Bombyx mori: one gene and its partners. The protein of the gene in region 1 purifies or fractionates together with the protein of each later gene. This does not show direct contact. Links are inferred from orthologs where the notes say so. Each region holds a gene or a part of one and is shown on either strand. Other genes may lie near its edges.

Region 1 (5,610 bases):
AAATTGCAAAACTCATAGATAGATCGTAAACGTAAAAATCTATATTTTCATTGATTCAACACTGATTCACATCAAATTTTTACTATTCTGCAACACTACTTTGACATTGACTATTTGACGTTATTGGAACTTTTTTAATCACGTTAGATTGAATTCTGGTCTTTTAAGCCAAAAACCCATTGAAATAGTGTTTCGCCCATTTAATTATTCGAATCCATTTAACATTTATTTTAACAATATGTACATTTTGTCTTTAAAATGGTTTGGTGTTATAGCTCTACTCTCAGCATAAGCACTTCAACACACAATGTTGAAGTTCTCGTTTTCTATTCCCAAAATAGTTTTATAAAAAAACCGACTCTACTTTCAATTATTTGATGGTTTTTAGTTAGGCCAAAGATCGTTCATACCATCTTTAATTAAACAAACTTATCTAAATGTTTTTATTGCTAATATATAGTTTTATGGAAGCTTTTCACATATTTTTTCTTCTCTTCACATTTTATCAATAGCGAATTCCTCCAAATACGTTGAGAACTTTCAGCTTAGGTGTGTCGTTTTAGTCGCTACAAGCCCTTCTCTATTAGTTAAACATATTTGAAAGTGTAAAAGATTGTGGAAATATAACAAAATCACTGGACCTGACTTCTCAGGACTTTATGTTTATATAAATTAAAGAAAATAATTACCATTTTCTGTAGTTTTTTTTTCAACTGGGCTTCAATAATAATAAGATGAAATACATACTATTATTAATTTTTTACTACATTTTTTTAAAGGGATTTTATGACCTGGACTAACTAAAACTTTTAGGTCAAGTCTTATTTTAATTTTATGTTACGTAACTTTTTTATATGAAAATTATAGAAATGAAATGAAGTTGAATAATATGAAACATGGCATGAAGTGAAATGAAAACGAAATGAAATGAAATGAGATGAGATGATATGGGATGAAGTATAATCTCAGTAAAATGGTGATCATTTACTGAGACTTTTTCAGTGGACTTTTTGGAAGATCTCGAGAACTTACGTTCAGTGGCTTTGTTTCGTTTTCCCACATTTGTGCACTTTCACAGTTACAGTTAAGCAGTTAATAAGCCACCGTTATTACACATTTAAACCTGAAGAAAGACTAATTAGACAAAATAAAACAAACCACTCCTCGCGTTCCCGCCGAAAAGTCCTAGAAAGAACTAATTATAATAAATTTTAAACTACCTGTGTTTTATCTATGGTGGTGTATTATCTATGAGTAGCTGATGGCCGTGTTGCAAATTCAATGCTTTCATAAATAAAAAATAAAAAAATATCTATGAGTAGAAATTAGCGTCGAACTCGAAGCGAAGCCGATACATTTTGAGGTTATATTTTGTATTTCTTGTTAGCCGATATTAAAGTAAGTACTGATGTTTCTTAAATAAGCAATGAAAACAATAAAGGTGGTTTGAAAATGAATTAACATCCAATTTACTTTTTAGAACCTGCAAAAATGGCGGCTGCTATGCCAATAAATCCCAAACCATTTCTTAATAGTCTAACGGGTAAATCCGTGCTAGTTAAATTAAAATGGGGTCATGAATACAAAGGTTTGTTAGTATCAACAGATGGCTACATGAATTTGCAACTTGCTAATACTGAAGAACTTGTCGATGGAACTTGTACAGGTTAGTATTTAAGTGAACAACTTTAAGTAATCACGAAAACATATTAAAGCAAGAGATTAAGATCTACTGGTAGTGGACCTGGACCAAAATTGAATTAAAAATGAGACGTTCATTGTTTGTTTGGTCTATTATGAGTACACTATTCTGCACCCATTTCGACTTCAAAGCTTTCAAGCATTCTGCTTTGAAGAGTAGATTTAATATTCATATTGTAATAAACTTATAAATTCTAGAAGCCACTTAACACTAAATGTCATGGGGTTCATTTGCCCTTTTAAAGAAAAAAAAAGTACTTGCTACAAAGAATGCACAAAATCAATAAATTTCATAACAAGAGACAACTTGACACTTACAAGATTCCAAACCAAACTTTTTGGTTGTGAATAGTTTTGTGAATTTAATTAATTTAAATTAGTAAATAAAATTTAGAAATCAAATCTTAACATTTAAATATTTTTTTTTATATTTTTTTTTAAGAATCTTTTTTATTGTAATTCAGTCCATGCTACATCAAACTTAATGAAGTCATATCAGCAGAGTTCTGTAAAGCTTTAACGGCGTTTGTTTTGAATACTAGTTCAGTTAGTTCTGTTAGTCCATACATACAAAACACTAAATTAAGAACCCTATTAATTTAAGTATTGGGTTTTATTTCCAGGTAATTTAGGTGAAGTTTTAATAAGATGCAATAATGTCTTGTATGTAAGAGGAGCTGATGAAGAAGATGAAGAAGGAGAAATGAAAGAATAATTAGTAATTATTACATAAGTTAGAATAAGGAATTATCTTAAGAATAACAGGCAAAAGGGAAATTTTAAGCAAAAAAATAGAAATTTCATATTACTCTGTTAGCAGTAAAATTACCTTAGGTATATATCCCGAAATACTAATGATTGAGGAGAAAAATGTTAATTGGAACTATTGTTGTATACAATGTTTAAATGAAACAACTTTAATACTTTTTTTTTTTTAATAACTATGTCTGAAACAACCTCTTCAGCATGAATTCCATAACTTGTATAATTAATTATAAGTAAATTTTCACCATAACCTTGTTTTATTTTCTCAACACTAACTTTACAAGAAAAGGTTTGCGATTTATATTGTCCTTGCAAAAAATGAGCATGTGAAAACAGGGAAATATATTGAAATCTAATGATCTTCAATGTATTTTACCCCATTCCTTCTTGCTCTTTTTTGGCCTTTGGGTATTAGATTCCAAATTCGTTTAAAAACACAACCTCATTCGCAAAAACAATTTTCATTTAAAAAAACTTTGGTTCTCATTCTGGTTATGATTTGAAACTAAAAAGTAAATAATACAACCTTATTTTAATATAGTTAAAGCTCTAGAAGTGACTAAAAAGAGATGCATATTATTTTATAGTATCTAGTCTGTGAGAGAACGAGATAGAAAACTCCTACAGGTTACACTTCTACATTTTGCGAATTGCTGCACACTTTGTATTGCTCTGGATGAAGAAAAAAGCTGACTGCCTACTTGGTATTAAGTAGTTGCCATAGCCCACTACATAAATCATCACTCATCTTAAGCCTTGATGCATGAGGTACAGAATGCAGGATAGTGATATTATCTCATTTATGCTTATCCTGCATTCCACTTAGAATTACGAACTTATAAACATTGCCCATTCGAATTTGAACGCCTACAGGATAAGCTATTGATTGTGGAAGTCGGTGAACAAGCATTAGAACATATTTAGAGCAGACCTAAAGACAGGTCACAAACTAATGTCCTACATTAGTCTATCGTGCACGGATGACTGAAATTCTTATAGTCCATTTCGCGAGACAATAGTACTCTTAATGTCAGGGCAATACCAAAAAAAAAATTTTGGTTAACTGTAAAGTCGGTTTACGGACGATAGTTTTACACGTTAAAGTCAGTAGGAGAACTATTCGAACTGCTAGTTCTGACGTCACGCGACATAAATGTGTCACAAGCCAACACTTGGGTCGACTCTGGTCACCGTCCTCGTCGAACCCGTCGCTTGCGACGAAGGGCTCGACGAGCGAATTAACCCATAGACACAGCCCACTGAGTTTCTCGCCGGATCTTCTCAGTGGGTCGCGTTTCCGATCCGGTGGTAGATTCTGCGAAGCACTGCTCTTGCTAGGGTCAGTGTTAGCAACTCTCCGGTTGAGCCCCGTGAGCTCACCTACAAACCTTAGGGTGAAGCTGAAATAGCCTCTCATGGCTATCAGCATAGGTAGGGAAAAAAAAGGGCCGATCGTGCCTCTATCGCATGTTCCGTGCTCTCGCTTGCACGCTCAGGCGGAACGTGACATTTTTTCGTGCGTGTAGCCAATACTTATCGATTAATCACGTCAAAATGCTATCCCTCTGTCTTGTATAAGTATTTGTTAAAATGTGAGTGGGTAACATAATAAAACCACTGTAATGAATAAAATGGTTTTATCAGATTTTTCAAAAAATCCGCCTAAGACTCGGCACAAGATGATACGATTTCGCTGAAGACAGATACGATTTGAAATCTTCACGACTTTTGAGAGGATAAAAACAGCGTCGAAGACACCTTCTTCGACAGTAAAGCGAGAATGCATCAGCCCACTGAGTTTCTCGCCGACACTTCTCAGCGGATCGCTATCACAATGTCGTTATCGATTCATTAGCGAAACAGCTGCTCTTGATGTGTTAGGTTTGCTATGAAGAAGTTCAGGCAGTTGTTAATACATTCTAGATTTATGAGAAACACCCATTTATTAAAAGAAATCGAGCGCCACCTCTCGTTATTTTGTGGTACTATGAACCTTCCCTGAAATACCAACAACCACTGTTTACATCTTTCAACTGTTGTGTATAACTTTTATATAGTATCTTGTAATGTGAAAATACTACTTACTGAACATTCAATCAATTTACATTTCCGGAAAGGGATTAGGTAAATCCAAAATAATAATCACAAATCGAAGGTTTGAAATAAGTAAATTTATTGTACATAAAGGACATAAAAAAAAACATAATCATTTAAAATCTGTAGCAAACACGATCAAATTATGATTTCAATATTTATCAAAATATTCTTTATAAACGGATAAATTCACCTCAACTTAAAACTAACAAAAAAACGCCGTCCACGTGAACATTATTTTTAAAACTGACGTTTTGTGTCAGAACAATCGGTAATACACAGAGTAACATAACATTCTCACTTTGAGCATCGACTAATCTAAATATTGCTTACAATTTCGTAATGTAATTATTGAATTTCAATAGTAATACGCTGTTATCGCAACAAATCTTCTGTCGAGGTAATTCTGTTCCACTTCCAATGAGCCGCTCATGTTTCTTGCTAACGAGATTATCTGAGAACAAAATAAAAACCTTAAATGTTTTAGGTATATTCAGTAACGCGCGAACAGTTTATTTACGACTTAATCATTTTGATAACGACATTAATGCGTTTAAGTTTATTGTACGCAAATAATGATAATTTTAAACAATGACGAACTAACGTAGGAGAAAAAATATCCGAATTTGATTTTTAGTTTATTTTTTTACTGCTTAGATGGGTGGACGAGCTCACAGCCCACCTGGTGTTAAGTGGTTACTGGAGCCCATAGACATCTACAACGTAAATGCGCCACCCACCTTGAGATATAAGTTCTAAGGGCTCAGTATAGTTACAACGGCTGCCCCACCCTTCAAACCGAAACGCATTACTGCTTCACGACAGAAATAGGCAGAGTGGTGATACCTACTCGTGCGGACTCACAAGACGTCCTATCACCAGTAATTATGCAAATTATAATTTTGCGGGTTTGATTTTTATTACACGATGTCATTCCTTCACCGTGGAAGTTAATCGTGAACATTTGTTAAGTACGTATTTCATTAGAAAAATTGGTACCCGCCTGCGGGATTCGAACACCGGTGCTTCGCTCAACAGGAATGCACCGGA
Region 2 (4,036 bases), on another chromosome or scaffold:
ATTTACACTTTAATAGGAAGTATGTATTATATATATATTGTTATTTGCAAAGATGACGTGATTTAGATGTGTGAAATCTAAGACAATTTCGTGCTTCAATTTGCCAAGTAAACAATATGACGATTTTTAAAAGTTGCTACACTGATTTTATAAACTTGTCGTTTGACAACTCAGTGACGGCAAATCATAAACATATGGCGTAGTACAGTGCCATCTGCCAATTTCTAGCATGCTAAATGTTATCATCGTTTCGTATGTTGCCATCTCGCTCGCACTTGCGTATATGCCGGAAAGGTATAAAAGCTTTATGTCGGCGATAAAACGTTAGCATGCTAGCTATGCTGTTTTGTGTAACCTGTTACCTCTCAATTACAACCTATTTTAATTGTGTTGCTGACTCTAAAGTCCGTAACACAGTACCGCAACATACCTCAAGGTAGGTGCGCTGCACCATTTGAATCACTCTCACTTGAGAGTGATTCAAATTTAAAACGACCCTCCTTGTGACTTCCTCTCTAAAAACACTTATTTATTACAAATTTACCGAATTTACAATAGTTGTTTACTCGCTACGGAATAAAACAATTTTACTTAAATAGTTCCGAAGAGAGATTTTGTCAGTAACCTTTTTCCCGAAATATCTAAACAGAATGTCTAAATATGTTTTGATGACACATTTTATTAAGAGGTATTTATGATTTGTGTCATGAACAATAGATTCCGACCGAAAAATGGTGTCAGAGTTTTCGGAGTAGTGCTCCATAATGAATTTAAATATATATAGATAATACTTTTGGGGCATCGACTTTCTTGGGATCCTATAAAATATTTTTTAATTATTATTTTTGTATGTTTTAAGCGGGGTAGCATGATAAAATAAGAAATTTTATATAAGCAATCATATTAAATCGATATCAAAGTTAATAAATAATGTACAACCCAAGACAGACGGCTGAGCTGACTTACAGTGACATTTGGTGCGCTAAGCATGTCGGATTTTCGGCCTCATTAGATTTTTACGTATATTCATATTTCATTCTATGTACGCACTGAAATACTGTTATATTGTTTTACTGCGAGTTACAGTGCTGAGTAAGAACGAGATAGATATAATATGTTTAGGTGTGTGCCATCAAAATGGGTGCTACTTATTTAAGCAATTGTGCGTATAGAGGAAAACAATATGTCGCGTCTCTATTATATAGGTCTATGGGTTTTTTACTTCAGTGGTTTTTAGGGCCATTTGACAGTTCATAAATTATGTTAATGTCAAAATTGACAAAAATGTGACATTGAAGTTGTTCACATACTGCTACATTTTGTACATGAAAAATACACCGAATTTAATTTTATTGTATTTGCTGTATAATACCTATAAAGAAATTAACAAAATAAAAACCGGTGGTTCCATAAACCAAAAATGGCCCGAGACAGAAGTCCTGAACGGCGGAGGTCAAGATCACGAGATAGAAGAGATCGGGATCGTTACGATGAACGCGAATCGTATCGTGAAAAAGTAAAGCGCAGGGACAGGTCTAAAAGCCCTAAAAAAGATGCGGATAAAGCTCGAAGCCCTTCTAGAAAAGATCGCGATCGTTCTAGGAGTCCACTACGTAAAGAACGCGGTCGTTCGCGCAGCCCTAAGAAACGTGACGGCAAAGACAAAGATCGACGTTACGAAGACAAGGAAAAGAGTAGATCAAAAAAAGAAGATGAAATGGAGGAAGACACTGCAGACATGAAGAAAGAGGATGAATCCATAGATAAAAAACCAATTAAAAAAGAGCCTTTGTCCTTAGAAGAACTACTTGCTAAGAAAAAGGCTGAGGAAGAAGCCCGCAGTAAGCCAGTATTTCTTACCAAAGAGCAACGAGCACAGATAGCTTTGGAGAAACGGCGTCAAGAAGTAGAAGCTATAAGAGCTAATACTGATAAGCCTCAAGTCACTATTGATTTAACAGGTCCGTCAAGACGGGAAGAAGATAAAAGGCACAGAGAAGAACGTGAAAAAGATAGAGAAAAGGAACGTCGAGAGGAACGGGAAAGGAAATATGAAGAGAGGAAAGCCTATTCAGATCGTCGAGAACCAAAAAAAGATAATGAAGAGACATCTAAAACAAAAGATAAAGAAAGAGAAGAAGAGGCTATTAAAGCTCGTTACTTAGGTATAGTAAAGAAAAAGCGTAGAGTAAGACGGCTGAATGACAGGAAATTTGTTTTTGACTGGGATGCGTCAGAAGATACATCAAATGATTATAATGTTTTGTACAAAGAAAGACATCAAGTACAATTCTTTGGTCGTGGACACATTGCTGGTATAGATATCAAGTCTCAAAAGAAAGACCATAGCAAATTCTATGGGAATCTTTTAGAAAAGCGCAGAACTGAGTTAGAGAAAGAACAAGAAAAACTACGCTTGAAGAAAGTGAAGAAGAAGGAAGACAAGCAAAAGTGGGATGATAGACACTGGTCTGAGAAAGATGTGGATGAGATGACAGAGCGTGATTGGAGGATATTCAGGGAAGACTACAATATTACCTTAAAAGGAGGTAAAATTCCTAACCCTATACGTTCTTGGAAGGAAGCTCCCTTGCATACTGACATTATGGACATAATCAACAAAGTTGGATATAAGAGCCCAACTCCTATTCAAAGGCAGGCTATTCCAATTGGATTACAGAACCGTGACATTATTGGTGTTGCTGAAACTGGTTCCGGTAAAACATTGGCATTCCTTATACCATTACTTACATGGATTCAATCTCTGCCAAAGAGTGAACGTATGGAAGATGCTGACCAAGGACCTTATGCTATAATTTTAGCTCCAACACGTGAATTGGCTCAACAAATCGAAGAAGAAACTAATAAATTTGGTATTCCTCTTGGTATCACATCAGTAGTGGTTGTTGGAGGTTTATCTCGTGAAGAACAAGGTTTTAAGCTGAGGTTAGGCTGTGAGATTGTCATTGCCACTCCCGGTCGTCTTATTGATGTCTTAGACAACAGATATTTAGTACTAAACCGTTGTACCTATGTTGTTCTTGATGAAGCTGATCGGATGATTGATATGGGTTTTGAACCGGATGTTCAAAAAATCCTGGAATACATGCCTGTATCGAACATAAAACCTGATAGTGATGCAGCTGAAGATGCTTCAGTATTGCTTGCCAATTATAACACAAAAAAGAAATACCGACAAACTGTGATGTTTACGGCAACAATGCCTCCGGCTGTAGAGCGGCTGGCTAGAAGTTATCTCAGAAGACCGGCTATTGTATATATTGGATCTGTAGGAAAACCAGTAGACAGAACTGAACAAATAGTCTACATGATAGGCGAGAATGAAAAACGTAGAAAACTTACAGAGATTTTGCAGCGTGGTGTCGAACCACCCATTATTATTTTTGTTAACCAGAAAAAAGGTGCAGATGTTCTTGCAAAGGGACTTGAAAAACTTGGTTTCAATGCCTGTACGCTGCATGGTGGTAAAGGCCAAGAACAACGTGACTTTGCACTTGCCAGTCTCAAAGGGGGCGCTAAAGATATCCTCGTGGCGACAGACGTGGCAGGTCGTGGTATTGACATTAAAGATGTCAGTATGGTCATTAATTACGATATGGCGAAGACTATTGAAGACTACACTCATCGTATCGGCCGTACCGGTCGTGCAGGAAAAACTGGTAAAGCTATGTCCTTTGTTACAAAAGAAGACTCCGCATTGTTCTATGATCTGAAGCAGGTTTTGTTGGCAAGTTCCGTATCTACGTGTCCACCGGAACTTATGAACCACCCTGAGGCTCAACATAAGCCAGGGACAGTCGTAACAAAGAAGAGACGTGAAGAGATGATATTCGCTTGACAATCCTAGTTATAGTCTAAAATAATAAGCAATAGGTAAATTACCATCATGGTCACCAGCAAGTTATAAAGTCTATAGTTACTTTAGTTCTAACACATTTTAAACATCCACTTTTAGAATCAAAAGAATGTAATTTTAACTAAAATTCGTATATATTTCGAGAAATAAAAACAATAA
Region 3 (4,001 bases), on another chromosome or scaffold:
GCAAGTAGCCTTCACCAAACTTAGCCTTTGCAAAAAGGACTGCCAGTCAACAAATTTAAATGGTACTCAACTTCCTCATCAACATATGATTAAGTAGTTGTTAGTACATACAAATGCACTTAGAACACAGAATTACATGGAAAAAACATGTGCAAACAAAAGAGTTCTAAATAACCTGAAGTACAAAGGTCTGGTTACTCAGTAGAAACTGAAAACTAGCAATCAACAAATATACAGTATAATTCATAAGCCTATTTGGACATATTGTATTGAAGTATGGGGCACACCCTATATATAATGTATAATATCTAAGGGTATAAAAGTATAATTACTGGTGGTCGGACCTCTTGTGAGTCCACACAGGTAGATACTACTACCCCGCCTATTTCTGCAGTGAAGCAGTAATCCGTTTCAGTTTGAAGGGTGGGGCAGCCGTTATAACATACTGAGACCTTAGAACTCATATCTCAAGGTGAGTGTCAGCATTTACGTTGTAGATATTAATGGGCTCCAGTAACCAATTAACACCAGGTGGGCTGTGAGCTCGTCCACCCATTTAAGTACTTAATATAAAAAAATATATATTTTGGGACAAAGAAATATATTTGATGGTTCATCAAAACATAGGAGATCTATGAAATCTTTGAGCTGCCAATGGTCAAGAAATGATAAAAATGCTATTGGCCCCACAAGCCACAATTGTAAAAATATCCTAAACAGCTTGCATGTTTGCATATTTGATGAAAATACCCATCCGGAACTGGATGACTACATAAAAAATAAGGTAAGGCTCTGCTGGGAGTACTCTAATACCTAGCACACTATCTCATCTACATATAGTCCACACAACTAAGGGCATAATAAAGAGATAATATAATATATATGTGCATAATAAATTATATATTAATGATAGAAACTTGTATAAATAATATATAAGTTTCTATCAGTTATCTATTATATAAGTTTGGGCTCAGAGCCTCCCTTGTGTTAAATAGTAGCAGGTAACTTTCCTCAAATGTTTGAATGTATGTATGTAATTATACATTTTATCATACGTTTATAATAGGTAGTAATAAACTTTTGTATTTTTGATATAAAAAGTTTATAGCAATACTTAAATAATTAATAAATTATTTTTAGAATTTTTTTTTTATAGGAAGTGAATTTAAAAAGTTGTTATTTTCACTTTTTATCCTACTCAGTACATTTGTATGTAATGGAATTTTTCATTTAAATTTTCACTAACTTGAAAATTAAAACATGCATTAAACTCTGGTGACAACCGTATCGCTTGGACTTTTATTCCTATAAAAAGTAAGGATAATAATTTAGATAACAAAGTACTGGTCAAGCTGATTAAAGTGTATTACAAATAAAAAGCAATCTGCTTACTACCAAGGATGGCCCAAGTATTAATCAACACTATAATCAATGGCGGATCCAGGGGGGGGGTCATGGGGGTCATGACCACCTCGTGAGCTGGTTCCAGGACTTAGGTGGACAACTAATTGAATATAATGATTTTATTTATATATTTTGTCACCATACAGATTTTATGTAACTACATACCTTCAATATTTAATTAATTAAATATAATAACTTTGTATAATGGCAAACGCTTGGGAACGAACGCATCTAAATTTGACTATGTGACCCCCTCCTGGCGCCAAAGCTGGATCCGCCCTTGACTATAATAAACTGAACACAAACTTTCAACAGTTTAAAAGACTTTCACAATAAATTGTATCTCCTTTGATTTTACAATCAGTAAATAGAGCAAGCTCCACGTTTAATTTTTCCAAGTATATGGTTCTAAGCGCTTCTCCGGTTAGTAAATGTAATCTCATGACAACTGGTCCTTCTCTGGACTGTAGATTTTATTGGGGCCAATAACAGTTTTATAATTAATTATATTATATTATTTAGTTTTATGATTATTGCTCAATAAGCACATAAAATGACATCAATTTTGCAAAATAAATAAAACGATTTTTAAATAATGTATCACTGACGAGAAATTTTCATTGAAACTGCTGTCTTCAGAATTATTAACCTTAAAATTTTGTAACTTGGAAATACAAATTTTGCTAAAAAAAAATTGCTTCTTGATGTCACTTCAAATATATGGATGTCCTTATTTGTAACCCATTTTCTAATTATATGCTTAATGACTGATTAAACTACACTTTGTGAAAAAAAGTACTTTTGATAATATAAATCACGAAACTCTATAAAGAGTTCACTGATGTTTTTGAAAACGGAATTCATATAATCAGTGGTGAAAATGCTTTCGCTGTGCGCTTTAAGTTCACTGAGATTCGCAAACTTTTAAAACATTTCGTTCGAAGCGTTCCTATTCTTTTTTTTTTTTTTGTTAATGATATTATTATCCAGAAGATAACAATAGCGTTTTGAGAGACAATTCGCTAAGAATGGGAATAAACTTGATTTTTCTAAACATACCGCTATTCCCGTTGCAATCTTTCCAAAAAACAAACTAAATTACGAAAAAATCCAAACATTTGTGGGCATTGTTTCACAGACAAATAGTTCGATAAACTTTGAATAAATTCAATAATAAAAATGTGTGAACTGTACAGTAACTTAGAGAAAATGTATTTCTATTTAGCTTTAAATTATTGTAACTAAACTTCACCTTTAATGAGTAGGTTACTACTATTTAAGTAGAACAAAACTATAAAATAATAAACGTGACACTCTATCTATCAAAGTATCAAACCGTCACGATTTATTTTGTTTTTACAGAGTTCCAACTGGCAATGAAATTTATTCCATAAAACCAAATCAAGGCTTATCCTATAAGTTACCAGAAATCATGTACTCTATGGTCGATTGATCTTCCTAAATTTAAAAAAAAGAATAGAAACCTTTTTTACTTATAATGATTATATACATACCTATATTTTATGTGTGTTTATTTAAATAATACGCTAGTAAAAAATACGCTAGTTTAATGGAATGAAGAATAGATAGACTTTTTAGAAGTAACGCGAGAAGTAAAGTGGTATGAATTGTTTTACTGTGTTTCTTCTTAAGCCGTTTGTCATTGGGAAAGTGAACTAGTACGGAAAGATTAAATAAAGCTATTAGACGTGGCTTGTCAGTCTCTTTCAAAAAATCTACTGAAGTCTCACTAAGTTCCCATCATTTGAACTGGGACATTTCATCACATCTCATCTCGTTTCATTTTATTTGATTTTCTTCAATTTCGTCCCAATTTATAAGTTTTATATTATAGCTTCATTACATTCTGTTATGTAAATATTCATAATTATAGACTATATAAAGTCACCAAATGCTATAGGTACTTAGAAAAAAGAAGCAAGCCATTTAAGCAATGATGCCAACTTAGGAGATTTCTCCCTAGCTTAGGAAAAAATAAATTTATAACTGTGAATGTAAATGAGACAAATTGACCCAATTAAACCACCAATTTCTACAACTATGCACTCCTATTTTCTGATTTAAAGGATAAGACCACCGTTATACAATAGAGAGACTTTGACTTTGTGTCTAAATTTTTATAAAGGAAACAAAACTAATCAAAGCGATCGATTTTGTTAGCCTTCAGTATTATGTCGAGAGTCGAATAATTGCGTGGATGATTAGTATGCAATGATCACTTTGACTGTGGAAAAACTTGCAGACCTCTTGTGCTTTGAGGTATTGAAGCTTGTTTAAAGTATCAGACGGTTTCTATAATATGAGATTAAATGTAGAATTCTTCGTTTAAAACTAAATCTTGTGTTTGTTCCGTACATTTTAGGCCTAATAGACAATACAGTAAAGTAAAGTAGGTACAATCTTTGAATCTAGATAGATTATTCTCAAGTATGTAGTGTGTTAGGGCATATAGTAAGATAGGTGATATTAATATATATATAAGTTCCAGACAGATTCCCGGGGCTTGCAGTGCGCATTACAGTATGCTATAATAAATCTATTGATTGATAGCTTTGACATGCGCAAAGAGCCAGAGT

What was found. Proteins that work in one complex are often made in the same cells at the same time.
Region 2: the proteins of small nuclear ribonucleoprotein protein F (region 1) and probable ATP-dependent RNA helicase DDX23 purify together in Homo sapiens (co-immunoprecipitation; 3 studies listed by BioGRID and IntAct, counting the BioPlex papers as one, with this or other methods). This does not show direct contact. The link is inferred for Bombyx mori from reciprocal best matches to the Homo sapiens genes SNRPF and DDX23.
Region 3: the proteins of small nuclear ribonucleoprotein protein F (region 1) and serine/threonine-protein kinase PRP4 homolog purify together in Homo sapiens (co-immunoprecipitation; 3 studies listed by BioGRID and IntAct, with this or other methods). This does not show direct contact. The link is inferred for Bombyx mori from reciprocal best matches to the Homo sapiens genes SNRPF and PRP4K.

Annotation. Positions count from the first base shown.
Region 1 is NC_085117.1:15,790,805-15,796,414, forward strand, and holds small nuclear ribonucleoprotein protein F, read left to right. Parts: upstream 1-1,320; 5' UTR 1,321-1,398; intron 1,399-1,480; 5' UTR 1,481-1,491; coding exon 1,492-1,666; intron 1,667-2,324; coding exon 2,325-2,416; 3' UTR 2,417-2,713; downstream 2,714-5,610. Other genes in the region: trimethylguanosine synthase, read right to left, coding at 4,919-5,014. UniProt on the Homo sapiens protein: Plays a role in pre-mRNA splicing as a core component of the spliceosomal U1, U2, U4 and U5 small nuclear ribonucleoproteins (snRNPs), the building blocks of the spliceosome.
Region 2 is NC_085121.1:15,456,180-15,460,215, forward strand, and holds the start of probable ATP-dependent RNA helicase DDX23, read left to right. Parts: upstream 1-1,236; 5' UTR 1,237-1,420; coding exon 1,421-3,859; 3' UTR 3,860-4,036. UniProt on the Homo sapiens protein: Involved in pre-mRNA splicing and its phosphorylated form (by SRPK2) is required for spliceosomal B complex formation.
Region 3 is NC_085107.1:3,226,565-3,230,565, forward strand, and holds the start of serine/threonine-protein kinase PRP4 homolog, read right to left. Parts: upstream 2,801-4,001; 5' UTR 2,657-2,800; exon of another isoform or gene 2,464-2,656; intron 1-2,463. UniProt on the Homo sapiens protein: Serine/threonine kinase involved in spliceosomal assembly as well as mitosis and signaling regulation. Connects chromatin mediated regulation of transcription and pre-mRNA splicing.